Linked DNA regions of Alligator mississippiensis. The protein of the gene in region 4 interacts with the protein of the main gene of each other region in a biochemical or structural test. Links are inferred from orthologs where the notes say so. Each region holds a gene or a part of one and is shown on either strand. Other genes may lie near its edges.

The links.
Region 1: the proteins of BMPR2 (region 4) and GDF5 form a complex in vitro, tested with the Homo sapiens proteins (2 studies listed by BioGRID and IntAct, with this or other methods). The link is inferred for Alligator mississippiensis from reciprocal best matches to the Homo sapiens genes BMPR2 and GDF5.
Region 2: the proteins of BMPR2 (region 4) and GDF2 form a complex in vitro, tested with the Homo sapiens proteins (2 studies listed by BioGRID). The link is inferred for Alligator mississippiensis from reciprocal best matches to the Homo sapiens genes BMPR2 and GDF2.
Region 3: the proteins of BMPR2 (region 4) and BMP4 form a complex in vitro, tested with the Homo sapiens proteins (2 studies listed by BioGRID). The link is inferred for Alligator mississippiensis from reciprocal best matches to the Homo sapiens genes BMPR2 and BMP4.

The regions. Positions count from the first base shown.
Region 1 is NC_081832.1:37,892,146-37,898,997, reverse strand, and holds the start of GDF5 (growth/differentiation factor 5), read right to left. Parts: upstream 3,009-6,852; 5' UTR 2,735-3,008; coding exon 2,101-2,734; intron 1-2,100. UniProt on the Homo sapiens protein: Growth factor involved in bone and cartilage formation. During cartilage development regulates differentiation of chondrogenic tissue through two pathways.
Region 2 is NC_081829.1:20,541,662-20,549,402, reverse strand, and holds the start of GDF2 (growth/differentiation factor 2), read left to right. Parts: upstream 1-4,726; 5' UTR 4,727-6,602; coding exon 6,603-6,948; intron 6,949-7,741. UniProt on the Homo sapiens protein: Potent circulating inhibitor of angiogenesis. Signals through the type I activin receptor ACVRL1 but not other Alks. Signaling through SMAD1 in endothelial cells requires TGF-beta coreceptor endoglin/ENG.
Region 3 is NC_081825.1:300,000,484-300,007,566, reverse strand, and holds BMP4 (bone morphogenetic protein 4), read right to left. Parts: upstream 3,013-7,083; 5' UTR 2,635-3,012; coding exon 2,250-2,634; intron 1,078-2,249; coding exon 233-1,077; 3' UTR 1-232.
Region 4 is NC_081827.1:171,408,498-171,415,487, reverse strand, and holds the start of BMPR2 (bone morphogenetic protein receptor type-2), read right to left. Parts: upstream 3,023-6,990; 5' UTR 2,441-3,022; coding exon 2,365-2,440; intron 1-2,364. UniProt on the Homo sapiens protein: On ligand binding, forms a receptor complex consisting of two type II and two type I transmembrane serine/threonine kinases.

The DNA.
Region 1 (6,852 bases), on a different chromosome or scaffold from region 4:
AGGTGGGATTGAGGCCCCCATAAGGAGGGAGTTGGGCAGGGCTGGGGCTGCTGCCCAGATGGGCAGCACATGGGGCTTGGGACCTGGGGCCGCAATGTGCAGCTGCAGGGTCCTGGGGGGGGAGTGGAACAGAGCCGTGGGTGACTCGTCTGGTGGGCACGGGGTGGGACTAACTCCCCGCTGCTGTGCACACTCCCAGGGGGCAGGGGGAACCCATGCCCCCCAGATCTGTGCGCAGGATAGGGGCACAGGCTGCCCACTGTAGGCTTGGGCTCCTACCCTGCTGCCCTCCCCTGGGGCCTCCACAGCCTGGTGGCTGCAACCTGGTGCTGCAGGGAAGAGCAGGAAAGCTACTTGCAGTTGTGAGCCCTAGCAAGGTGTCCCCTGTGTGGATGGTGGCATGGGGTTGTGCCCTCACTGCTGCCACGCACGCAGGGGATGCCTCACTAGGGCTGCGCAGAGCTCACAGCTGCAAGCAGCTTTCCTGCACGGCCCCACGCTGCCCTGCAGAGCTGGGTCGCACCCACTGGGATGCAGAGACCCCAGGGGAGGGCAGCAGGGTGGGGAGCCTGTGCCTGCCTCCACCCCGCACACAGATGTGGGGGCATGGGTCCCCTCTGCCCCCCCCCCCCCAGGAGCACACAGCAGTGGGGAGCTGGACCCCACTCCCACCCAAGCCTGTAGCAGCCTACACATAACTTGGGTTCTGTGCTCTGCTCTGCTGCAGCAGGTGCCACCTCCTCCTGGAGGCAGGGGGCTGTGGACTTGGGTCTCTGGCCCCGTAGCCCTGGCAGCTGGGGGCCCCCTCCAGCAGGGCCAGAGGGGAGGGAGTGAGGGGCTTAAGCAGGGCCAAAGGGGGTGGGGGGGGAAGGCGTGTGAGGGTCCTTTCATTTTAATCACGGATTTTGGGTTTTTTACCAGAGAATTTATGATTTTTATCAGAGAAACCTAGGATCCCTAGTAATAAGAAACATGACTAAACAAGGGTATTAGTATGTTATTAGCATCTACTCCTCCACAGCAACCAGACTGTTTGTAATTAAATCCCATTTGAGTTTCCCTTCTAAAGTGGATCAGTGACCACCTTGGCACTGCTGGGGCAGTGGTCTAGAGGTCCCATCCAGTTCATGAGAAAATTCATGCTGATTTCACTGAAAACAGCATTAGGCTCATTGCCCAACTTGAGTAAGGTTAACATCTGACCCCTGTGAGTGCTTACCTGACCAATAAGAAGAGGAATGGAACTTCATTTTTTCTTGGTGGGATATGTGCATGCACTATACTAGCTCATTCTCCACAAACAGAAGAATTGTGCCACAGAGTCTCAGGTAATGGCTATGCTGAAGTCACAGAAGCTATTTAGCCTAATTAGCTGGTTCTGAATTTCTTTAGTTAGGTTGCTAACAGGAGCCATGCTAGCTCAGGTGTCTTTATACTACTTTAAGTACTTTTGTGACTGCAGTTTAGACATACCCTCAGCTCTCCCCTTATTACATATAAGGCTGCTGTTTTTATATAGAAAGTCTTTTTTTGATACACTGAAAAGCAAAGAAATCATCACTGTCTTTAGCACATCTTATGCCTGTGGAACTGTTTAATATATAATAAAATGCAAGTTTATCAACTATTGTAATTTAATTATGTAAAAGCTTAAGGGATGGATCTCTAAAGTATTTATACACTTAAAGTTAAAGATAAGAACCTTGCTGGATTTTCAGAAGTACCAAGATTTATTAGTCCCATTGGAAGTCAGGTACCTAGTAGGTAAACAGTAGTGAGATTTTCAGAAGCACTTATCCGCCTATTTAGACACCTAAAACCTTTGAAAATCTGCCCCTAAATGCATTGGTTGATAAGTATACAAACATCCACATCTGTTTCCAGGTGAATTTTATACGATTTTAAACTGAAAAGACAAAATTGCCTCTGAGTTATGTAAATCTGATTACATTTAAATCAGTCAAGCTATTTGCCTTTAATACATTACCATTATTTTGTAAGTAACTTTATGGATATACAAATGCATACACACAGCTGTGTGAACACTTATGCATTTCTTTCATTAATACACATATACTTACACCTTAGCTTCTTTCTTACCTTGTCCTTTATCTATAAAGCTTGTTATTGTATTGGCGAGTCCAGCCTCCAATTTTACACTTCCATTAACATCTTTTCTCTCTGCATCTGAGAGAGTCCTGTACAGGGAAAGCATGTATTCATGAGGTGTGATAGGGGGGTGTCTGAAAGTCTCTTTAGATTCCCTTTGTGTTAGAGGCTCTTTAGTCTTCTTGGTTTTGTAAGAACTGGCATCAGTATTGCGGGTGCCAGTTTTTTTAAGTGAGGCCTTGCTGCCAACATTCTGAATCTTTGGAGTCACTGTCCTTACTCCAGATGGTCTGTTAGGGGAATGTCCTACCTTTGTGTCTGTAGTCCCTGCTCTAGAGAGAATCTTCTTTGGTTCATCCTTCTTAGACAGGAGAGCTCCAGCTTGAACAGTATTGCTTTTACTTCTAGCCTTTGATGTCCCAGCACTGTATCCATGGGTTCCAGTCCTAAAGGTACCTGCCCTTGATAAGGGATTCCTTTCTTTTCCTTCTGCTTTTAGCAATCCTAATTTGGATCCAGGATTACTCTGACCTGCTTCAGAATTACTCAACACTACAGAAACTAAATCCAGATATAACCAAGTCAAATGCCAAAGCAATAAAGTGAGAAAGTGCAAGATTTTCATCCTCTGGTCTTCCTTTGAATGCCACTAAAGAAAAAATCAGAAAAGGTTCCTCCAGTTTGGCAGAAGAAAACATGAAAAAAATTTAAAAAAACTGTCAGGAGAAATAGCTGTCTTTTAAGTTTAAAACACTTTAAATCTGTTTCTCTAATATCTGTATCCAGTCCCATAGTGGAAATGCACATTTAGTCAGGTATGTTTCTCCCCTGGCTTCAGTTAGCAACTAAAAAGAACTTGTTCTTGAAAAGTGAAAGTGTACCTCCCCTTTTCTTCTGTAAAACTGACTGAAAACTTGAAGGAGTCTTGTTTAAATCTAAGGGGCTTTTTTTCCAAAAAGGAAGAATGGCGTAATGCTGCCTCTGTGCTAAAAGTTTTTTTTTTACGTTTTGAATCCTTTCCAGTGAAAATATTTCACACAGAAACCTGCAGGTGCTCAGAAATCTTTTACAAACCTGAACTCAGGAATTGGAAACGGAATTCTAACAAAAACCTATTTAATTACTCTCTGATGTCATGCTGTCTAAACTAATTTAACTGCAATATATTTCTTTAAAAAATCTTCTTTACCCTTTCCATTAGCATGAGTCATACCTTGCCTCATGTGAAACAACTCTGTAGGATCAACACTCCAGAGGATGCCATTTAGTGGCAATACGACCTCTACCTTAGCCTTAGATGAACTTCATATTCAAACAGGACAAATTGTAAGATCAACAGTATGAATCTTTTACAGAGTCCCTTGGAATAAATACATTAAAACATCTTATGATTCATAAGAGATGTTTAAAACCATTCTGAGTTGGAATCTTTTCCTAAGAATTGGAATAGTGACTTCACTTTGCCTTTTGGCGATGGAAGGACTTTGCCAACAAAGGTAATTTTTAAAACAAGGATAAAGTTTAATTTCATACATATACAACACATACATTCATACTAGTTTTAGGGGCATTAATTGCTATGCTGTTCAAAAGTAAAGCTAATTCCAGTTTGGTGCAAATATTTGAACAAATAAACTGAAGCTCCATTAAATACAGAGGGAATGTTTCCTTTTGCTTTTGTCTCACAGACGGCATCCCCGTGCCTCTTTAGCTTGCCCCAGCTGTGTAATATATTTCCTGAAACAGAACCTATCAAACAAATTCTTCCAGTGTTAAGCAGCAGTGTCCCCTGCAGGAGAACTAGAGTTCTGTCAAGCTAAAGCACTGAGGGAGCCAGAGAGACCAGATTCTAAAATCCAAATTTCATATTTTAAATGATTTAATATAAATGTGTTCTTTTTATTTAAAAAGTTTTAAAGGTTTAAAACCATCGCTTTAAAGGTTTTAAAGATTCATGTACACAATACAACCCCACAGAAATAGCATGTGATGTATTTGTTGATGCTTACAAATGAAAATTATCCTACATGTTAAAGTCCACAGGCAATTAAATATAAAAGATAATGCAAACAAGATAGAGCAAACAAATCTCTCCCGTAAGCTACAGAAAATTAACTCTTATTTTTCTAACTGAACCCTCGGAATGCAGGGACAGGCTCGGATCAATTAAAAATCGATTGGACCCCTCACCCTTCCCAGACTGAAGCTGAACTCAGTCTCAAAAAACTTAATTTCAACTGTTCCTGAGGCTAAGAAGTGCCATCATTTTTGGATATTTTTGTTTTATTTTTCACACATACCTGTACTTTCAGCTTGGAACTAGGACCAGGAACAGAAATCCTGAAATACCCTAGCAAATAATGTCCTGCCAATATTAGCTCTTTCAAACTGAGGGTCTCAGAGCACTTTGCAAATGGAAGTACCATTATCTGCACAGATTATGAATCTGAGCCTCAGGAAAAGGTTCAGTGACTTGCATTGTCATATTGAAGGTAGCTTTTCCAAACCACTTGGCATTGGCTTAATTTTACTCCCAATTACAGTTTTATTATTGGTTTCACCAGGAACATAGTCTCACAAGTTAGTAAAAGGATCTGGATTGGAGTTCACTTGAACAGAAGCATAGACCTCTGGCAGCTCAAATGGAAGCTCTGTATATCAAAGCAGAAATGCTAGTTTTCTAAAGAAAAGTAAAGACAATGTAAAGACAATATTTATATAGTTACACATTTAATTAATTTGAAAGGGCTCCCTTGGTTCTTGGATATAGCACACAATTCACAACAGAAAATTAATATTGCCAAAAAATGGCAAAATACTAAATGAATCCAGTCACTCCCCACTCCTCACCTACTTTCATCTGGCAGCGAATGTTTTACCTACTCAACAGAGAGAAAAAGAGCAAAATATCTAGGGGCAAAGGAACAAAAGGGCTTATAAGTGCCTTCTGAAGAGAGTCTCATTTGACTAGCTTGGAGATTCTACTGTCACTACATAGTTGTCCCCCTACAATCCCCAGACCATGTGTCTTACTGCTTCCTGGATGAGATTCCTGACTTCTGGCACACTGTCATCTATGGACCATTGGCTAGACATTGGCTCCTAGGCATTTGGTCTAACTGAACTTTGACTAATGCTTTGGTCTCTAAGCATTGTGCCCCTTAATGGCTACCTTTGACCTTTGTTCTGTGGCCTGCAGCTCCAGAATCATGCTCCCAGGTCCGTTTTACACTACCAGCAGCTGCCCTGTTTGATTAAGAACATGTCAGAAATGTCAGCACATCAGCTTTTACAACACTAAAAAAAGTATCCCTTCAGCCCCCTCCCTACAATCCATCACCCTACTTGTCTGAAGACCCCTATGTAAACTCTCTGAATGAAAGACTGGAACAATATTCATTGCTGAACCTACAGGAACTGAAGTATAGCCTTTTTCTAGTGAACTAGGACCCAAATAAGTCTGCCCTTCCAAATCTCCAATATGAAGAGCCAACATGCAGGGATTCCAGGTCACAAGAGCAGATGGACAGTGTAATGCATCCAGTGTCTGCTAATACTTGAACTAAAACATCAGCAATCTAGGAAACGGAAGGTAGCAGCCTAAATGTCTAACAGGGTCTGCTGTCCTCAGAACCAACACCCTCAAAACTTGGATCTGGAAGAGACTCTCGCTGAAACCTGGCCTAGAATAGCTACCATCCTATGTTTAAACTACAGAGCATCCAGAAAGACTGGGCTGAGAATTAGCCAGAAAGAAAGGCAACATTGCCTTCAGGGGACTGCAAAATGTTTAGAGGGAACAGACACAAATAGACACTGGTTCTTGAGTAGTGAGGTAGTGGCCCTGAATATTGGTGGGGAGGGTGTTAGTCTGTCAAAGGGTGGCAGGCCACTTAAGGAGAGTTGGGTGTAGCCTCATCTGTCTGTGATCAGCTACATCCTTGCTGAGACTGCCTCCATTGGCTGAACTGGGAGGAGTTGAGGAGGAATGCTGGAGCCAGGGTTGCCAGCTGTCTGTAAAAAAAGTCAGGCTATAAATGCCTGCCTCTCAAGTCTATAAATAAATATGAGCCATCTCTAAAAACACAAAGCTACCACAAGTCTGCTTGACTAAAGCTCCCCCTTGGAAAGAAGCTGGACAGCGAGAGCTTGACTGAAAGACTGACAGGGTAGAGCAATGCCTCCTGTTATCTGAGTGGTAGCATAGCACCCTGCAGGAAGCCAGTTGTCAGGGTTGTGTAGATCACACCGCCGGCCCCCCACCTCTAGCCACATGCTGCTGCCACTGTGTCTCATCCTGTAATGCTACTGGGTTGCAGGTAGGCTTCATTGTGGGCCTGTGCCAGCACAGGGAAAGCAGGACCACCAGGGATAAGATGGGGGGGGAGGGGTAGGCTGGGGGAAGCAGCATTATGCAGGGTGTGTGGGTGGAGGTAGCATGGTATAAACCATTGGTTTAATCAAGCAGTGTTGCCAACCCAAGATTTTTTTTTACTAGAAACTTTTCACTGACAACCAAACTTTATTTTTTTTTTTACTAAGGTTGGTGTTAAACCCTAAATTTGAACCCAGCTCTTCTAACTGAAGTTTTGTAAGCAAGGTAGGGCGTAGTAGAAGAGTTACATTTACATTACACAAAATATGTCAGTGAAAACGTGACAGTAAAAAAGTTTCGTCAGTAAAAAGTTTGCAAATTGTCACTAAAAATGTTCTTGGGTTAGCAATATTTACTGGGAGTAAAAT
Region 2 (7,741 bases), on a different chromosome or scaffold from region 4:
ATACTATATAGTAATATGTTTAAATACTAAAAAATAACCAAGATTTATATTTTTGTAAATTATACTTTATATCCTTTAGGTTGCTTTTAACAAAAGCTAATAAATTAAGGTACAGTAGTATTTAAAAATAGTTGAAATGTCTTTCTATAAATACACATTGTTGTATTCTGTTAATTAGAGGAAAAGCAATGCTATCTTATTTGGAATGTCCAGGCTATGCTTGTCACAATATAATTTATAGATTAAAGCCAGAAGGGACTACTATGATCATCTAGTCTGACCTCTTGCATAATACAGGCCAAAGAACCTCACCCAGTAACTTCTGTATCAAGCATAAAGTCACAGCACCCTGGTTGAAAATTGCTGCCTAGTTTGGGAATCTTGATATGGCTTAGGTGGGCCAAGTGCTGAACTGTTCAGTCCCATCATGATAAAACTGCTTCAGGGCATGTCCAGAAGCAGAACTTTAAGTACCTGAACTTTAGTTCTCTACATCTAGAATATAAGTGATTCCAGGGTTCGGTGACAGCTGAGCAAATGCTTTGAGGTTCTAAGTTTTAGACTCACATATCAAGACTCACCTAAATCACATTTTAGACACCTAGCTCCTTTTATGGTCCTAGCTTTTATGTGCCTCCACTCTCTACCTGTAAAATGGTGGTAATAACACTATCATACTTCATATAAGTGTTGTTAGCAATATTAAAAAATAGTATGTTAATCTTATGGAGAGTCAAACCACTCACCTTAAAATAGAAGGTTAAAAACAAAAGCATTTTGCTTAACATGAGCATCTCATGCATTCTTTGGTGCCGATAGGGTCTGATTCTTTTTTCACTGTTATAAATATGGAAGAATTTCATTAAAGTTGATGGAGTTACATAAGTGTAAACAAGACGAGAACCAGACCCATAATATATGATGCAATAGCTATACCTGAGTTACAGCTTAGAGTGTAGACCTTTTTTGCAATTTAAAAAAAATATATTAAACCATTGCCTATACTGTCCTAAACAAATACTCATCTTTTCCCACAGACATGGCCTTGTTCCCATTTAACATCTGGCTAGAATGACACGTTGGTCTAGTGTATTTATGTTCTGGTCTATTACATTTTGTTTTCCTTAGGGAGCCTATTTTACATCCTGAACTGTTCCTTGGTCACAGACTTGCTTTCCAAGTCATGATGATGCAGGTGACTAGGAGAAGGAAACACAAATCTTTGATTCAATATGTTTGTAGGTAAAAGTCCCTCTTCTGTACACAGCGAGGGTACTTTAAAGAACATGGTCAACACTTAAAATTTTTGCTGGCATAGCTGTCAGCTAGATTGCAGAAAAAAAAATCACACCTCAGACTGATGCAGCTGTGCTTGCAAACCTTTCTAATGGAGACACAGCTTATGTAGGCAAAAGAGTTCTTTTGCTGGTATAACTTATTTCATTTAAGGAAACAGAATGAGACATATCAGCGAAAGGACATTTTTCCTGCTATAATCTGAGTCTCTGCTTGGAAGACTGGGAAGGTTTTCTGTCAATAAAGCTATACCAGTCAATTTTATAGTGCAGAAAAGGCCTAGGCCAAGATTTTTCAAAAGCAATGATTGATTTAAGGAACTTTAATGTGTGGTTATCTTACCTGAGATACTTTAAAAGGGGCCTGTTCTTGAGCCAGTGTCTAGAACACATCCTATGAAAACCAGGATCCATAAGTTGTGTAAAGTTTGGAGTCCAAAATCACTTGGCATTTAGAAGGCTTGCCCTAGAATGTGGTGTTTCAGTTATTGCAGTGGGAAGGGGGTAGTTTGGAGATGGAGCATAAGAAAGAGCCTGTATCAGGGAAATACTTTCTCCAGAAGCTGATTCTAATATAATCTACTCCTATTGACTTCACTGGGAAATATATTTTCATAGAACCTCTGAACAAAAGGCTACATCAGGCCTAGGCTGAAGTTATACATTACATTTAGACCATACTAAATCTGTGGAATGTTAACCAATTTTAAAAACAGAATGTGCTGTAAGCAGTTACACATTATGAGTTAATACTGTTCCTTGCCTGCATAACTCTGACTTGACACTGGAGGGCTGGTGAGCAGGGCCATGAGAGCCAAGACACCTGGGGTCTATCCCCGTTCTGAGGATGCAAGGCAGCAGTGCATCCTGGGATGCTAGAGGACTCATTTTATCTCTGTGGAGCAGACTGAATTTACCCTAAATTTTTCTAAGTAGCATGGGCCAGAGTTAACCCTCTCCTGAAGTGGCATAATGTTGAGATGCTCAGAAGGCACTTAACTAGAATTAATGAGTTTTAACATGTGGATGCTCACTTTTTAAGTGTCCTTAGTATGATCTAAGTTTAACATGCACTTTGAAGGTAAATCAATGGCAAAAAGAGTGATGTTATTGCTAAATACAAACAGGTGAATAGTGAGTAGGAGCTGGGAGGTAATTTTACTTCTGTATACCGCACTGGTGGATGAACACTAGAATACTGTATACTGAACTAGTGTCCACATGTTAAAAAGGATATTGAACCACTGGAGACAATATAGAAAAGAGCAACAAAAATTATTTGATGGGTGGAGAAATCACCTTACAGAGAGAGACTCAGAGGGTGCCTCTAAACGTGCTCAGTAAAACATCACCATCTACACGTGTGGCAGTTAGGTCAATGTAGATTTATTTACTACACTCTCAGATAGTCCCATCTGACACAAGTACTATCTGAAGGTGGAATAAATTACTGTGCTTATGTGCATGTGTAGATGGTGATGTCAGGATTAGCTTACTCCAGCTCAAATTGTACCAAAGTTTATTCAGTCGCATTAATTGCATGTGTAGACATGCCAAGAGAATTCAATCAGAAAAAAAGTCTATGAGGTGACTTATTTATTATGTAAGTACCCTAATGACAAGAAAATACCATGCATGAAAAGGTGTTTTAATATAATACAGAAAGGCATAACAAGATCAAAGGCTAAAAGTTGAAGCAAGACAAATTTAAATTTTAAAGTAGGCACAATTTTTTTTTAAGTAATGACAATCACCCAGTGGAACAAAATCCCTAAGGAAGTGATGGATTCTCCATCTCTTAACTCAAGATTAGATGCCTTTTGGAAAGATGTGCCTTAGCCAAAAACAAGTTATGTTTTATTCGGACATAATTTACTTGGCTTAATACAGGGGGCAACGTCACTGAAATGTTATTCCCTGTGCTAAATGAGAGGTTAGACTTGATGAGCTCATGTCACATCTGGCCTTAAAAACTACAAGTCCAGAAAACAAGATTTGCATGTCACTGGAGAAGAATCATGTCACGGGATGGGGTCCTTAAGGATGGCCGTGTTCTCCTAAAGCCCCTTGACCATGCCAATGTGGCCCGATGGGCACCCTCAGTTCTCACTCCACGTCTTTGATGAAAAATATGAAAATAGGGAAGCTGCCTTTAAGTCCTCTTGGACACGGTTTGATGGACTTACTGAACCCTGTGGGTTCCCAGATCCCTTGTGGGTCTCGTTCCACAATGGGTGTTTCGGGGCACCCTAGCCTTATGGGCTATATGCATGGCTCCAACTGCCCTTTTACCATGCCCTAAGCCTCACAGATGGTGCTGGCATTGTCTTGCCTTGGCCTCATTATAATTTGGTCCCTTGTCCACATTGGGCTCTCCGCAGCCCTGTCTCTGCACCCTCTCTGGCGCCAGGGTCTCTGCACCCCAAATGCCACGCCCTTTCTGGCACCGGGGTCTCTGCACCCCCAAAAGCCGCGCCTCTGGTGCCGGGGTTTCTGCACCCCCAAATGCCACGCCGTCTCTGGCGCCGGGGTCTGTGCCCCCAGCAAATGCTGCACTCTCTCTGGTGTCAGGGTCTCCGCGCCCTAAATGCCACGCTCTCTCCAGCGCTGGGGTCTGTGCACCCCAAATACCGCACCCTCTCTGGCGCTGGAGTCTGTGCACCCCAAATGCCATGCCCTCTCTGGCGCTGGAGTCTGTGCCCCCACCAAATGCTGCGCCCTCTCTGGCACCAGGGTCTCCACTCTGTAGTGGGCCCCCAGTGAGGCCTCCTTCTTCCCCAAATAGCCTCACCCAAACCACCGGTCTTATAAAACTACAAACAAAACATAAGCCCCTGAGCTATAACTTAACATAGGCTACCAAAGGTGTGCTCTGCCCCTTTACCATTACCCAGAGCAGAGGTTAGTCAGGCCTCTTTCCTTTCTCATTCTAAGAGGGCTCCTTCCCCCTTAGCCACCAGCAGAGAACTGCCTCCCTTAGTTTCAGCCTGGGTTTATATGGGCCTAAGGCCCTGCCCCTTCCTGCCAGCTGACCAGGTACAGGTGCTGACTAATTTCCACCTTAGCCGGTTGCCATGGCAACCTGCATCTGGGCTCCTGCCTGGCTCTTTGGGCTCTCCCCAGGCAGTTCCTGCTTTTCCTGCTCTTCTAGGAGCAGGGCACCTTAGTGTCCTGTGACAAATCAGATAAAAGCAGAGTAAAGGAAGATATGCTCTGTAGGGTTGTGTGAAGCTTCAGCCCCTGATTCAGTTTGGTGGAGTTTTGGCCCGATTCGGTGGCCAAATCTTCAAATCCAAATTTAATCAGGAGACCCTTTAATCTCTCTGAATCAAATCGGAACCCTCCGAATCGATTCGGACAGATTCAGAAAGATTCAGAGATTTGGACATAGACACAGCTTTAAATGTTTTTTCTACAGACCTCAAGGTACCAGGCGGCTCATCAGCACTGTGATGGTGGGGCAGATGGAGCATCCCACAGGAGTGCAGGGGGGTCCCCAGAGTGCTCAGCAGTAGACCCGGAAGTGGACCAGAAGGACTTCCAGTCCACTTCCAGATCCACTGGGGAGATGCTGCCTCCCCCTCCCACCCCCACCCCATGCTCCCGCTTGGCTCAGCAACTGGTGCCTCCTGAGTCTGGAGGGTCCCCCCGTGACTGATTGCCGAGATGGGGAGTGCAGGGGGGGCCCCCAGCGTGCTCCCTGGCAGACCCGGAAGTGGACCAGAAGCATTTCCGGTCCACTTCCAGGTTTGCTGCCGAGCACGTGGGGGACCCCTGTGCTCCTGTGGGATGCTCCATCTGCCCAACCATTGCAGCATTGATGAGCCACCTGGTACCTTGAGGTCTGTAGAAAAAACATTTAAAGCTGTGTCTATGTCCAAATCGTAGATTCTCCGAATCAGCATCAAATCTTCAGATTCAGATTCGGCCAAATTGGGGACAGTGATCCGAATTAACGAATTGAATCACTGTCCTGATTCGGGCCAATCCAAATAGAATACAGCCCATTTCACATACCCCTAATGCTTTGCTAAAAAACTGGAAAAGAATGACTAGGGATAAAATTTAGCGGTAATTTTGCGTAGGTGTTTTGAGCTCTCCTAGTATCAATGAGATGGTATGGCATCCACGCATGCTACAGGTTAATTTCTACTTTAAAAAATCATACAAAGGCAGTTTAAGTAAACTGGTTGTATAATATTAGATTAGATCATTTAGGATGGTTAAGTTCAATCAAATTAAATATCAAATCATAATATGCTATATAGATAACTAGTTTAACTTCCTGAGATACAAAAAACACAACTAACGAATCTCACTTCTTTTACTTTGGCCCAGATCTATATGGAAAACAATAACATCCATGGATAATCTTCGTTACAGTCATAGAAACCATTTACTTTCTACATTGGTTTAGTAGGCTGAGTTTTATCTTCACTTTGAGATCACTTAGGCAATAACTGGTTGTTCTTGGACCAACTTAGCCAACCTCGTGTGCATGAATCTAAGAAAATACATTACATAACGTGCTATAAAGTCACACTGTTTTTCTCCATGCATCAAAGGATGCACACTGAAAATAGAAAATCTACAAACAACTTGAAGCAAACTTGATACAAAACAGATATTTCACTGTGTACAAATAATAGCTCTCAGCTGATAAAAAGAAGGAAATTTTAAGGTTGTGTGCAATGTTGTGAGATCATGTGTTGCAAGAGCACAGAGTTCTACCAGAAGAGTGATTTTGGATCAATAAATTAAGGGACTGGGGTAAATATCTGAGGGCAATGTTTGCTAACTGCTAATGAAACATTTTGTTCTTAACCCCCACCCCTCTTTTCAGCTTTTGTAGTTCCTTAGGGAAACACAATTTTATTCTCCACCCCCAAAATGCTTCTCTTTAGACCTCTCCCTGTTGGCAAGGAAATGATAAAAAACATAATTAAGCAATGATGACCCTGAAGTGAAATGTGGATTCTTTACAGTATGCAGTGTCCTTCCCATAAGCCATATGTGTTTGTCAGATGTTTATAGAATCTTCATTAACTAAGAGCTTTGCTAGATAACAGAAGCTGAAGCATGGCATCAATGGCTAAGATAAGGGCAAGTGTACAACCAATCTGCTTGACAACTGACAAGAGGCTGTGGTTTGAAGCAGGCTGCAAAAGAGCTCAAGAAAGTGATTTGCAAAGGGCATTTCAGTTGTTTGCCTTCTGTTTCCCTTTCTTCTGGCTCTAATCAGACGAGTTCCAGTCAACTGGAATAGCCCTGTCTTTTCTTCACCATTGGAAAGTGAGCATAGGGAAAATGAACTATTTGGGGACATTTGCTGCATTGTCCATTTTCAACATCATTGCTTGTTTGACAAGAGGCAAACCCTTGGAAGAAAGAAGCAAGTTATCAGTTACGGAGGATTCTGATATATACTTTGGTGAGCTGGGAGAGATGGAAGGTGAGACGCATCTCAATTTTAGAAGCCTACTGGAGAACATGAAGGCAGATTTACTGAGGAGTTTGAACTTATCTAGGGTTCCTTCACAAGAGAGGACCAAAGAAGAACCACCGCAATTCATGATTGATTTGTACAACAGATATGCCATGGACAAGTCTTCCATCCCTGCATCCAACATTGTGCGGAGCTTCAGTACTGAAGGTATGACATCTTAAATACAGACAGGAATTTACAAGGCAGTCTGTGAGTTGGGTATTAAGTTCCTATTGAAATTCGGGGGAAGCTTCATACCTAACTCCCATAGGCTCCTTAGACCAATCCCAGCCCTGGTCTGTTTTGTAGTTCTTTCTTCTGCTCCTTATTTTCTTTTGGTCTACATGAAACATAATGGCTTTTAGTTCTTTTCTTTGATTTCACATTGTACAATCTCTCCTTCTCATACTGAATCAGATGAGGCACCACATCTATAAAATTGAGGGTTATTTTGTTATCTGTCTCAAAGCTAGAGAATTAGGGCTGAGTTGAAAAATTTGGAGCTATACGTGAGGCATCAACATAAAACCATAGGGTTGGAAGGGACCCCATGAATCCCCTCATCCAACCCTCTGCATAGATGCTGGGTATGTTTATTTCTAAACCACCCCAGACAAATGTCTATCTAGCCTCTTAATGAAAAACCTCCAATGCAGGAGTTTACGTAGCTTTCCTAGACAGCTTGTTCTGTTTTCCTTTGTTTCTTACTTTTAGGAAGCCTTTTTTCTAAGATTTAATTTAAAACTGCTTTGCTGCAATAAACCCACTGTCTTGTGTCCTGCCCTCTGTGACAATGGAGAACACTTTTTATCCCTCTTAGGTTAGTGCAGCCTTTCACATTTTTTAAAACTGCTATCCCTTCTTATGGAACAACTGTTTGCAGTGTTCCTCCCATACTTTATCAGGAGAAAAGCCAAGTAAAAAACATAGCTTGGGATTTGAACTAGGGTCACCACTCCTC
Region 3 (7,083 bases), on a different chromosome or scaffold from region 4:
TTTACCTTTAAAATAATGACTCATTTTATTTTTTTTTCATTTAATATGTAGTTATAAATATATTTTGTCAAAATATATGATCATTATTGTCAAAACATTTGCACATAAAAGTCATAAATAAGGTCAAGGTGAACGTTTAGTTTAGAGTCTGGCTGGAACGAGCAGTTCTGGGGTCCGGGGAGGAGGGCAGGGAAGGAAGGGAGAGGGGGGTGGGGGAGGGAAGGCGAGGGGGTCAGCGGCACCCGCACCCCTCCACCACCATCTCCTGGTAGTTTTTCAGGACCACTTTGTCATACTCATCTAGGTAGAGCATGGAGATGGCGCTGAGCTCGGTGGGCACGCAGCACGCCTTGGGGATGCTGGCGTTGACGGAGTTGACCAGGGTCTGCACGATGGCGTGGTTGGTGGAGTTCAGGTGGTCGGCCAGAGGGAAGGGGCAGTCCCCGTGGCAGTAAAAGGCCTGGTACCCAGGCGGGGCCACGATCCAGTCGTTCCAGCCCACGTCGCTGAAATCCACATAGAGCGCGTGGCGCCGGCAGTTCTTTTTGTTCTTGCGGGGCCGCTGGTGCTTGGGGCTGCGTTTGGCTCTCCGCACCAGCGCGTGGCCCTTGCCATCGTGGCTGAAAGTCACCAGCAGGGGCCGCAGCTGAGCCCAGTCCCCGTCCCCTTGAGGTAAAGATCGGCTAATCCTGACGTGTTTGCCCTGATGCGCGGGCGTCTGGCCGAGGTGGACCACCTCCACCGCCAGGCCGTGATTGGGCTGCTTGTCCTTGGTCCACCGGATGACGGCGGGGCTCACGTCGAAGCTCTCCCACCGCGTCTCGTTGTGATGCACCAGCCGCGTGTCCAGTAGTCTCGTGATCATTTGCCCCCGCTCCTCGGAAAGGGGCTTCATGACTTCGTAAACGTTGATGCGGTGGAAGCCCCTCTCCCAGCCGGGGCTCTGCTCCCAGACCTGCTCCCGGTACAGCCTCAGCTCCGCCGAAGAGACCACTTCGTTGTCGGGCACGCTGCTGAGGTTGAAGACGAAGCGAAGGCGGGGGGCGGCGCTGGGCCCGGAGAGGTTCTCCAAATGCTCTGGGGGGGGCAGGGGGAAAGCAAGGGGGGCAAAAGAGCAAAGCACGTAAACCTCTGGGTATCTAGATCAATCCCCCAAGTCAAAAATACAAGTCACCCGGCCACTCGGGCTCTGAGCCTTGCTGGCTGAGAGCTACGGTTTACCCCCCACGCCCAGAAAACTGCACTGCCAAAGACCCAGGGTGGCACTATCCCCCCCGTCCTGCCTGGACACACACAGACACAAGACACACATGCACAACTCGCTCCAAAACCCTAGTTAACAGCACTGGACCCTGCTGCTTAGCTTTTCAAGCAGCTCAGTTTTAAAGTTTTTTGAAAACTGCTCTCCAACCCCCCCTCTTAAGGATCTCTCTCAAAGGCTGTGCCATCACAGCAGGGAGGAGAGAGAAAACCCCACAGAGCGCTGCCTTGTTGAACCCATTACTGGGGGGTGGGGGGAAAGAAAGTAAGTTTGAAGTCCGTAATGATGCTGGCGGATTAATAACGCAGATTTACTTTGGAAAAGAAACATCCGCTAGGAAACATTTGGATCGGATTACAAGGCCCCATTGAACCAACCTTACAAACGCGCAGCTGTAAGGATTACATTCAAGTCCTGATTTTTTTTATTTTTTTTTAAAGGGCAAAAAACACAGGCAGGGACCGGCTTCCCTAGCTGCAAACCCACAGTCTGGGGAGGGCTGGGATCAGGCAAGTACCAGCTGGATAGCCAGGGGGGACATGGGTTTGGGAGCCAGGAGGGCTCCCCGCAAGCCCTGGAGGAGCCCGCTTGAGGTGCTGGGTCCTGGGTGAGGAGCCGGGAAAGCCCGGAGGACTCCCTGCAAGCCCCGGGACAGCCTGTTTGAGGCATTGGGTCCCGGGTTAGAAGCCCATTTGAAGTGCTGGGTCCTGGGTTAGGAGCTGGGACAGCCTGGGGGGCTCCCTGCAAGCCCCGGGAGAGCCCATTTGAGGTGCTGTGTTAGGAGCTGAGACAGCCTGGGGGGACTCCTCACAAGAGCCCGCTGGAGGCACTAGGTTAGGAGCTGGGACAGCCCAGGGGGTTCCCTGCAAGCCCCGCTGGAGGCGCTGGGACCTGGGTTAGGAGCCAGGACACCCCGGGGGCTCCCCAAAGCTGCGGAGGAGCCGGCTGGAGGCGGGCGAGCAGGCGGCGAGTCCCGGGGGGCACTGACCTTCGTGGTGGAAGCTCCTCACGGTGTTGGCGCGGCTGGCCGACCTCTCGGGGTAGCGCAGGCGGGCGCCCCGGTGCGGGTCCCGGTCCCGGTCCCGGTCCTCGTCCTCGTCCTCGCCCGCCTGCAGGCGGTAGAGGTCCAGCATGTAGGCGGGCACGACGGCGGCGGGGCCGGGCTGGGGCCGCCTTCGCAGCCCGAACATCTGCAGCAGCGTGGCCTCGAAGCCCCGCAAGAGCGCATGGCTGGCCGCCCCCCGCGGCCCCGGCGCGGCTCCGGACGCGGGCTGCCTGCGGCCCGGCTCGGGGGTCAGGCTGGCATGGCTGGCGCCCCCGAGCAGCGCTTGGCAAAACAGCAGGACCATCAGCGCGCGGTTACCAGCGGTCATGGTGCCTCTGCGGCCGGCGGCGGGGAGAGAAGAGGCGCGGGTTAGACGCGGCCCCGACGCCCGCGGGGGCAGGGGCAGGGGCGGCGGGGGGCAGGGGCCCGGGGCTACTCACGGCCAGGGAGCAAGGCATGGGGAAACAGTCCATGATTCTCGACGGCCAGGGCGGAGCGGGCGGCTGGGAAGGCGCGGGGCCGGCGCCGGGGCCGCGACGGGGCGGGCGGGCGAGCGGCCGGGACTCGGGACTGCGGCTCCCCCGCGGACAGCCTCTGTTTTTCTTCCAGCCCCGCAGTCACGTGAAGCCCGGCGCCGTCCATCAGCGCCCGGCCCGGCCCCGTCCCCGCCCCGGCCCGCCCCGCCCCGGGGCTTCTCCGCGGCCGCCCCGTCGCGCCCGCCCGCCCGCCCGCGACCCCGGCACGCTGCCCCGGCGGGGCGCTGCGCTGCGCTGCGCTGCGCTGCGCTGTGCTGTGCGCGGGGGTGTGTGTGTGCGCGCGTGTGTGTGCGCGCTTTTGGGGGGGTTTCAAACACAGTCCTCGACTTGCGACGTTTCAAGTTGCAGCTCTCCGCGCTCCAGCCACTTTCTGACCTCCGCTGCGGCTTGACAGCGCCCGCCGCCCGCCCGCCCGCCCGCCTCCCCGCAGGACGGCTGTCCCAGCGCCCTCGGACCAGCCTGCCGGAGAAACCTGCGGCCGGCACTCCCGACAAGACTCCAGCCCTTCGGAAAGTCCAGCCAAGTCAGCTCCAAGAAGTCCTTCCAAATCCATACGACTGCTGTTTGCAGTAGACATACATGACTGTAGCGATACGCCTCGTCTGTAAGGGACTGAGTACAAAAGAGTATTTTGGGTGAAAACGGTATCGGGGCCTTGGTTCAGGAACCAATCCTCCATTTGTAACATTGTTTCTTATGAGAAAATCGGTTCCGAGCGACAACGTTTCGATTTAAGACGGGGGGGTTTCGGGAAGCCGTTGTGTCGGAAGTCCGAGGACTGCCTGTAGGCGCGTGCGTTTGCCTTCCCGATGTCGAGTCGTTAATGGCATGTGATGAAAAAAACCTCCTGGCGTAGCTTCAGAGTTGGCAACCCTGCCCCCCGCCAAGCCGCTTTCCTCTGCCCGCTCCGCTCTGCTACGACAGAAAGAAATGGCAGAGCTTATAGGGGGCAGAGGAGCGGGGCATGGGCTTGGGCAGAGGCAAACCCTCTGCAAGGACCAGGAACTATAGCAGGGGCATGGGGAGGGGTGGGTGGCCGGGGGCGGACTGTGCAACGGGACTGCAGGGACTGTCGGTGTGTGTTTTGGTCTGCCAGGTGAACCAGAGGGGTCCCTTGACAGGTTGTTAGAGGTACAATTAGAAATAAATATATAGAGAAATAAATATTTTTGCAAAAAGAAAAAGTTTCAAGTGTGCTTTGGTCTGGCAAGTGCACCAGATGGGTCACTTGATGGGTTGTGACAGGTACAGTTATATATATATATATTAGGAATAAAGATATGCAGAATTAAATACTTTTGCAAAAAAAATAAATAAAGTGTCAAGTGTGTTTTGGTCTGGCGAGTGCACCAGAGGGATCGCTGGATGGGTGGTTAGAGGTACAGGTATATTTTGCAAAAAAAAAAAGTTTTGCTGTGCTCCTTGGCCACGTTGGAGGGGTCGTGGGCGCTGCTTGGCCGCACTCATCATGCGTCTGTGCCTTCACTGTTTTCTCTTTAGTCGTCCCCCAAAATCTAGTGATGGAGCCCAGTGGCGCTTTAAGAGTCCACAGGCATGTGGACAGGCCGGGGAAGCAGCCCTCCAGAGCTAGGGCCATGGGGATGTGGGTATCTATGTTTCCCCATGACCGTAACTGCTAACTTGGCATGCCTGGGCAGAGGGCCGGCTAGGGGTCCATACGCCAGACTTCAATCCTGAGCCAACCTTTTCCAAAGACTGGGGGTGCCTGGGTCTGAAGAGCTGCGCTCCAGCTCGTCCCAGACACAGCCAGACACACACTGCACACTCGCATCGCACCTTCCCCGGCGTTCGAGGCTGTTCGCGTGTGAGCTTTTGGTTGGGACCCATCTATAATTAACCCGCAGCTTCGGTTGCTGGAGGTGACGGAGGAGCAGGGGAGGGAGAGTGCAGCTCCCGAAGCGGAGAGCTGGCAGATGCTCGCACACCTCCGCGGAGAGGCACATCCAGGTAGCCGTGACGGAAACTCTACCTACGGCGTTCTCTAAGGCACTGCTGCTCTGCGTCCCCTCAGGAATATCACCTCACGCGCCATCAAAACTTCTTAGACCTTAAATGCTGGAGGCTGAGAGAGAGGAATAGAGGGGAAGAAAAAAAACCCTGCTCATACCCAATTCTCTCATCCTTCCAGCATCCACTCTCTGCCCTTGCGTGACAAGAGCCAGGGCGAGATGGACCCAACCCACCCAAATTTGCCTGACCCAGGAAATGGCAGTTCTGACATTGTTTCTCACACAGGATGAAAAAAAGTCTGCCAACTGCAAGACCCAGAAACATGGCCAAAGAAGTGATCCTGGGTGATTTCCTCTCCAGACACCTTGGTCTTGCTACTCTAGGTCAGCTGAGAGCTAACCCCGGTGCGGCTGTACTGCTCTCTTGTATTGCACATGCATAGGTATCACACATTCATTCCCATCTCTGGAGTCAGAGGGACTTTCTGCTGTGTTATGGTTCGGGTCTTTCATGGCTAGGTGTTATAAATTAACCATAAAAACAGGATCAAAAATGCCCACTGCCAACCAACACATCTGGGAAAAAAAAACCCCCAAACTTGTGCAGGCATGGTGCCCCAATCACTTCTGGCATCTGAGATGAAGCTCTGGGTAAAATCCGTTCGGTTTTTTGCATTCAGCTTTCTTTTGTTTCTACGCAGCCCGTGCCTTATAAATGCCTGTGAATGTTACTGGAAAGGCATATGCAGATAAAGGCAGTGCTGACATTGAGTTATTCTTAAACCAGCATAAGTTTAAGAGAAACATCTGTTAGCAAGGTATTTGGTCTATGAATTAATCAACACGGGGAAAAATACTGCTATAACCATTTCAACTATACCATGCTGGACACTGCTTTTTTTTGGGGGGGGGGGGGGGGTTTAACAACAGAAAACAATTTCCAAGGGGCCACTGTGCACCTTCCTCGAGTGAAATAACATTTTCGTTGACGGTTTTCCAGTCTATAAACAACGTTTATGTAAGTGTCCGGCTTTTAACACAGTCCTCCAGATCGGGAAAAGCAACCGACCCACAACAGCTATGGCACGAGGGAGCCGAGCTCCGATGTTCCACCCCCTGTGCCTGGAAACCTCGCTCACATTGGTGACGAACACCCCATTTCCACGTTTCGTCGGAGCGTTTCTCCCCTAGCAATTTCATCCCCTTCCAGAGCACCTTGCATCCCCCGCTAGCGAGCTGCCCTCTCTTAACCACCTTGCAAAGGGTTACACCGATCTTATGCAACGCTGTGTAAGAGGAAGGCCGCTCTGGGATAGCAATCCAGCCGAGGCCGGTGTGGCACAGGCCCTTGTGAGCAGTCCTGGTGTGCTGGAGCCGCTTATTAGTTATTAAAGAGCATGAGTCACGGGGAAAGCTTTGCTGCTTAACCCAGTACTTGATTCCTTAAGATGTAAATACATAAACCCCAAACCACAAAAAGAATAACCCTGGATGGAGACAGTGTACCTTTTACTGAGGGGGTTGGAATATTTTCCTGCCAAAATAGCGCTTCCTCGAGCCCAAGGAGGCAAACGCATCCTGATGTCACTCCCTCTGATGTCAGCGTGGAGTTGCACCTGGGATGAATTTGGCCCATGCAAACGTGATGCATATCCAGACCAAAGCAGCGAGTGCCAGTGCAGAGGGCTGTCAACAGGCCAGTGCAGACGGCTTATTTTGGCCCCTGGATTCAGCCCATTTAAATAGGCTCAGATGAGGTGACTGGCCACATACCTGCCTGCAAGCTGCAATAGAGCTGGCCTGGCCTTTTTGTGCACGGCCTTTTCCCCTCGGCCCACGCTGAGCTGCCTTCCAAGGACCGCCCGCACCTGGACACACCGCGGGGCCGGACTGACAGCTTTTCCCGGAGATCGACCCGGGAGACTGTTGGGGTTTCACTCTGCGAAGGAGGCTGATCAGATGACAGGTTCGTCCATACAAATACACCTGCCAACCCTGCTAAAAAACATTTCCTATCAATATCTGAGGAGTCTCGAGGCTGATCGCTGAGCAAATTGCAGTGCAGTGCTGCATGCTACCAGTATGTGTTGACTTTTTCTGCAGAGGCAACCGAGTGACCCCCCACTTTGCTTTTCTTTTTTTTCCAATCTGGAAAAGGATCTGCACAGAAGCCCCTGGGCCCTCCCTGGTGATTGTGCATACAGTAGTAATGTCTGATCCCAGCCTGCTTGGTGCAGGGGCTGGACCCGATGATCTTCCGAGGTCCCTCCC
Region 4 (6,990 bases):
GGTTTTCAAATGTTCAGCGTAATTGAGTCTCAAGGTTTTCAAATGTTCAGCATAAAGAAAATCCCTATCCACCATATTTCCTGGATTCTGTACAGATTGTAAATTAATCCTTTATTTTTAATGACACTATAATATTTTCCTTTACACTCCCCATGCATAGTCAAAAAGGAAAGGATGTTACAAAAGATGCCTACATATTTTTTCAGTATTAGTCCTGTTAACTTAAAATCATACATTCAGGTTTCCCGCCCAGAGTGCATTGCTTCATGACTATCAATACTGAATTTACCCTGCCACTGAGTTAGCCTTTCCTATATGAGATGCAGAAGCATGTTAATTGAGGATCTCAAATCTGCACAGGGTTAAACTGTTGCACCTATACATGAATTACAGTTTTACTTCAGAGGATAAAAGGGTTCGTTCATGTACATAAATGGGCAGAATTTCACCTTAAAGTGGTTTCCCATGTATCAGTATTTTTCCTTAATATTCACAGTTAAAACTTACAATCAAACTTTCAAAAAATTACTTTAGCCCAGTCTCAAAAACATTAGCAACCATCAATTGTGAACAAAACATTTAAAGCCCAGGTTGGATGCATATTTTTAATAAATTCATAATGTAAAAGCAAATCCCTAGTCATACATATCACAAGATGACTAAAAATACTGGCTTTGCTATTGTTTCTTTACAAGACATACCCAAGTTAGAAATAGCAAGAATGTTCTTAACGGGTGAAAACCGAGGTCAATTGGCAAAATGGACTGAGTAGGCTTATATGCAGTAGGTGCCCATTGCCTGCCTAGCTCAAATCAGTGCTCACTCCTTCAATAATCCTTCACGCCCATCAGCACAAAGAAATATCAACCTGCTGAAGTTTTACTGACTAATTAAATAAAACACTACACTTCAACTTTCATGTTTAAGGGACAAGTTTAGATAATGTGATATTCTAGGGTCATACATACATATTCATACCAAAGCTTTTGACCTTCCAAGATCCATTCTTCAAAGAAATCCTCTTAAATTACTACACAGACACTGTATATATATATATATATATATATCCTTCTGTAATATCAATGATGCAGTCAAAGGTCATGCTGATGCAGGCAAATGTTGCCTACTTACAATTCAGTTCACTAGTTCCCTCAAGATCTTTAAAAAAAAGAGAAGTGAAATGAACGCGGACTATCCACAATGGAGAAACTGATAAAAATGTGACCGATTCACAGAGTGACTGGTTTGAACATTGAAAAAAAACAAACAAACAAAAAAAACACCTCAAACTTAAAACTACTCATGTGAAAAGTTGTGTGCAACTATCCTAATCTTATTGTTTTCACAAGAAAAATTATTCTTTGTGCGTGTGACTAAGATACACAGCCGACTAAAGAATCATGCTGAAAAGACTGGGTATTCTAAACTGGCTTTTGAATATAAGGACAGATATCGCGGTGCCACGAGTCTTCCAAAGCTGCCGAAAGAGCATACACAAGGGAGGAATATGCATTAGTACTTAATAAAAGCTGAAAAACCCTTCAGAGAAGAGCTCCTCCATTCTCAGCCGATACAACGACCAAAAGCCAACAAGGCCAGAGCCATATCAACTGCTTTTCTGAATTCATAGAAAACTCTTCTTTCTATTCCTCTAAACCTTAGCTTCAAAAAAAATGAAAAAGGATTCAACTGCTTGAAATAAAGAAAACGACGCTTCCAAATCATTAGGCATTTCGATTGCTATAAAGTAAATCTTTCATGCACTGTATTCACACACCTTGCAGCTTCCTCACCAGCTTTCTGTTTTATCGCCCTGTGATCGCAGGTAACAATGAAAAATTTTCACTTGGGTTTCAAACACCCAGGAGAAAAGGCGCGGTGGACTAGCAGATATCCCTAAAAATGCACCCGCCCTTGTAGATGTAATGCCTCTCAAATCACAGAGGCTGTTAAAATTAAAAATGGCTGTGCCCAAAGATCCCACCAGCAAGCACGCACAGCTCTGCTGGCAATAGGCTTTTTCTTTTTTCTTAGATGTGTTCCTATGTCACACATCACCAAGGACGAGGCTTTCAGAATAAAAAGGCTGTATTTCCTCTCCCCCCATGACACGAAAAAGCCATTCAGCCAACAACAGACAAAGTGAAATAAAGCCCAGCTGAGGGGTGGGTCCAGGTAGACAATGAAGCCCGTTTTCTCCTCCAAGGGGGTCTGGTCTGCAGCTGAGCATTTGAGGGCATGGGGGCATGTGGTGCGGGCAGGGGGATGCTGTAGCAGGGCCCCCTGCCGCTTTGAAGCCCTGGGGGACCCCACGCCCTTCCCCGTCCCAAAATGGCTAGCTGCCCGCGCCCAGGGGCTACTTACCAGCCGCACTGCCGAGCAGCGCCGTGGCACCGGAGAGCCAGAGCAGCAGCAGGAGGCGCCGCAGTGAGGCCGGCATCCCGGGGGCAGAGGCAGGAGGCAGCGCAGGAGAAGGAAAACGCGGATCGATGCAGCCGGTGGAGGGTCCCCTCCCAGTCTCCGGGCAGCGCTTCACGCGCCCGGCTGGCAAGGCAAATGGCAGCCGCCAGGAGCCGCCTGCCTTGCTGCTCCCGCCCGCATGGCTGCGGCGCCGGCTTCTCGCGCAGCCCCGCGCCTCAGCCTGTCAGCCCGTGCCCGCGAGGCGGCGGCGGCGGCTCGGCGACGCGCCCCCCTCGCGACAGCGGCTCTGCATCCCCCCCCGGCCCGGCCCGAGCTCCGTGCGCGGCCCCTCAGGCGCCGGCCCGGCCCCGCGGCGGCATCGCGGCCCGGCAGCCGCGCGGGAGGGAGCGGGCGCGGTGCGGCGGGTCGCGGGCAGCGCCAGGCCCGGGGCCCTGTCCCGCCTCCTCCGTTGGCAGCTGCCCCCGCTCAGCCCCGCCGCATCGCCCGGAGCCCCGGGGGAGGGGGCCACAGGCGTCGCCCCTCGCACGGAGCCGCTCCGAGCCCGGCCCAGACACAAAGGAGAGCCACGGGGAACTGCCTGTCTGAGCGCAACGGCCGCGGGGAGCCGCCTGGCCCCGCCTCCGGCCCCGCCCCCTCAGCCTGCCGGGTCTCGTGCCTCGCCCTCCCCCGCCGGATCATAGAGGTGGCCTCCAGGTGCGTAGAGAAGGGCTACGTCGAGTGGCACCGCCCCTTTCCCCTCCCCGTGCCGGTGTGCCGGAGGTTTGCGCGCGCCGCCCGCACCTCCATGTTGGGGACAATCGCGCTGTTGCCAGACCGCGGCCTGGGCGGGAGCTGCGTGGGAGGGCGCCTAGACAGCGGGCGGCGGCTGCCAGCAGCATCGCTTCCCCCCCCCCCCCCCCGCGCCTTAAAAGAGCCGTATGGAAAAGTGCGGCTGCTTTTTCCAGCGGAGCTGCCGCCTGGATTGGAATCTAATCATGATCGTGTCGGGCGATGGTCACACGTGCATTGTTGCTACAGGGGGAGAGTGTGGGGAGCCCCCGCGAAACCCCCGCCGGAGACTCCCCTCCCGCCGCGGGGAGAAGGGAAAAGCCAGGCCGGGTTTCTTCAGAAGCCAAGCCCCCAGGAAAAGATGTTACTTAAAATCTCCTGTTCCTCGCCCATCCTGCACAAGCACCGATAGAGCAACACCCCTTGCTCGGCCCCTGGCGCCGATGCTTCTCACCCAGGGGGTCGCAGCACCCTGGGGTGCCCAGAGATCCTTTCAGGGGTGCCATCGTGCCATGTCACGTTAGTGCTGGCATACACACAGGGTTTGCAAGATCAACCCAGAAACTTAAAATAGGAATCCGTGGCATCACCACCACTGTGCCCTGCTGTGGGCTTCTTGAGATCTTTGCAACAGAAGAATTGCTCTTGCATTGTTCTGTAGTCACAAAACAGGTGAAAACTAAGCACTGGCATTTTCTGAGGGATGCTTCAAGTCTAAAAACATTGAGAACCACTGCCTTGAACGCTGCCTCAGCTTTCAACCTTTAGTGCTGGCCTCCACCACCTTTGAAGACCTCCCCTTCTCCTTATCTGGGAACAGCAGTGTTTCTTGTCACATTCCCACTGCCAACGCTCTTTTCTTAGTATTCTATTTCTTACTCCTCTGTTTCCCTTGAAGGGGGGTTCACAAGAGGATGTTAAACTGTTCTCAGTGGTGGCAGATGACAGAACAAAGAGTAACCGTCTCAAGTTGCAGGAAGAGAAGTTTAGGTTGGATATTAGGGAAAAAAAATCTCACTAGGAGGGTAGTAAAACAGTGGAACAGGTTACCCAGAAAGGTGGTAGAGACTCCATCCTTGGAGGTTTTTAAGACCTGGCTAGACAAAGCTTTGGCTGGGATGATCTAAGTGGCGCTGGTCCTGCTTTGAGTAGGGGTTGGGCTAGATGACCTCCTGAGGTCCCTTCCAACCCTCATTTTCTATGATTCTTCCTTGCTGCTCCATCTCTGCATTAATGATGTTCCCCACCAGTTCACTGCATTGGCACCACTTTTTAGTCACTATTAAAAATATTTCCATGATGCATAGAAGTCAAGAGTATGATTTCAAGATAAAAAAGCCAAGCCAAACTTCTTTTGTTTTTTCCTATCTCTGCATATCCCTGTGTACTCTGGTTACAATTCATTTTTTGTCTGTGGGGTAGTGTTGCCCTTTCAACTCCAAATTAACTAATCATCACATTATTTCATAGTTTTCACCATTAATAATAAAAAGAAACATTAAATGCTATATACATTTATTTCACATTATATGTGCATTTAGAAATAATTAAATTAGATCATAGATATGAAGGAAATTCAGACAGAGTCCAGATTTCAGATGAAACCAGTGTACTCCCATATTTTTGGGACTAGCAACAGATCAAGCAGACAGGCAGCAGAGAAAACCACAAGAGTATTCCACAGAAACCAACAGCCAAACCAGTGCCACACTAAAGATATAGGTCATCTTATTGTGCATACCTGAAAAGAATAACAATTTCTGGTGCCATTTCTAGTAGAACTGGGATTGAAATGTAGAGGTCTAAATTAAAATTAGACCTCTATATTAGACCTTCTAAATTAATTTGACAGGGAATGGTACAAAAAGCCCCTTAAAAATATACTGTGCACAGGTGAGGCCTCCCTGTAATTGTTTGAATACCTGTCCAGTCTCAAGATTTATGTAACATACACTGAGGCCAAAATATGTTGAATTAAAAAATGGACTAAAGCCATTTTTGCCCTCCAGCCATTTCTATTTCATGTTCAAGGATTTCGGAACTGAGAGATATAGATCCCCAGCCCAATCTAATACCTTAAGTCTTACAGAAATATCCTTATGCAAAAATGCTGCTTCTTTGCTGTATGTACAAATTCAGAATGGAATCCCCTGATTTTAGTGATAATAAATTTGTAACTATTTCTTTTCACTCCTCATACCCCACAGAACCCAGCAGAGATAAGACTGAATGGACTGGATCTGGCTCATATGTTAATCAACAGAATTGTTATTGAGAGAAGTTGTGGCATCTCCACCACTGGAAGTTTTTAAAAGCAGGTTAAACCAGTGATTCTCAGCCAGCTCACCATGACACCCCGGGTTGATTTAAGATCCTTTCAAGAGTGTTGCAGAGTGCCAGGCAACATTCACACTGCTAGGTTTGCACACCATTCACAAGATATTCACAGAGATTTCAAATAGGAATTCATAGTGTTAAAAATATTTTGATCCGTTGTGGTCTGAATTCTTCGCAACAGAAAAAAACTGCTCTATTATTTTTCTGTAATCAGAAAAACAAGTGAAAACTAAGAGCTACATTTTCTTAGGGGTGTATTGAGTCTAGTGAGTGGTGTCTTGAGTCTGAAAAAGTTGAGAACTACTGGTTTAGACAAACACGTGGCTGATCTGCCTCAGAAAGGGGTGATCCTGTCTTGTGTGGGGAGTTGGATTAGATGACCTCCTGGGTTCCGTTATACCCATTTTTCCAGTTCTAAGCTCCAATTGTTTCTTTGTTGGCAAGACACATGCCAACAACATAGGCTGATTTTCCTATTTCAAGCTTGCATGGCTGACAATTAGAAAAACAAAAAATTCAATTTTTACTTCTCAGCTGACCATATCCAATATTCTCTCTCACTTCCACACAAACAAAACTTGAGATTGTCATCTTATTGTCACTTTTCAGAGCCATAACCACACATTAACCACAAAAGCATCCTTCCTCTTATTTCAACTGCTAAGAAATAACCTAAACAAAACAGTTTTATCTTCAAGAAAGGGGGAAAATATAAACTATTTTAAAGGGACAAAAATGCCATGTTCTTTTTTAGTTTAGCAAAGGCACCTAACTACACAGCATGCCTTCCACCCCACTATATCAACCAATAAAACAGCAGATAGCTCCATCCTGCTCACTAAAACAATTAACTCAGTAGTATGGTTTGCATAGCACATTTTTTGCTTAGATAGTTAAAATATATATATAAAATGTATATTGAAAGAGTAGGTCCTGAACCTGGTGCTGTTCAAGTAAATCACAAAAATGTCATTGATTTTAAGGGTTGCAGGATACCCATAAGCAATTGTATAAACAATGTTTCTGGCCTGGGATGTTTATTTTTCCTGTGATTTTGTATCTAATCTTCAGGAAAAAATAGAGGGGGTTTATTTTGTTTAGTTTAGTTTTGGTTTGTTTTTTATAAATAATAAATATTATTTTATGCAATGAAAAGCATCAGTTTGACCAAACTGACAGGAGGCCTGGGACAGGTGTTTAAGACAGGACTGCCTTGGTGAAAATAGGATATATGGTCACCCTATACACAACCCATTTTGCAAATGTGTAACAGTTTATGGACAAGGTTGATCTTTGTCCAATTTGCCCAATGTGTCTACATGAGGGAACACAGTGCTGCCTTACCAGCCTGCACAGCTTACCTAGATCACACAGCACAGGGGGTAAAACATTTAAAGTTGCTGATCCCTCAGTTTCTGTGACTGGGGAGTAGGTAGACAAGGCCGGGGGCCAGCATGGAGTGAG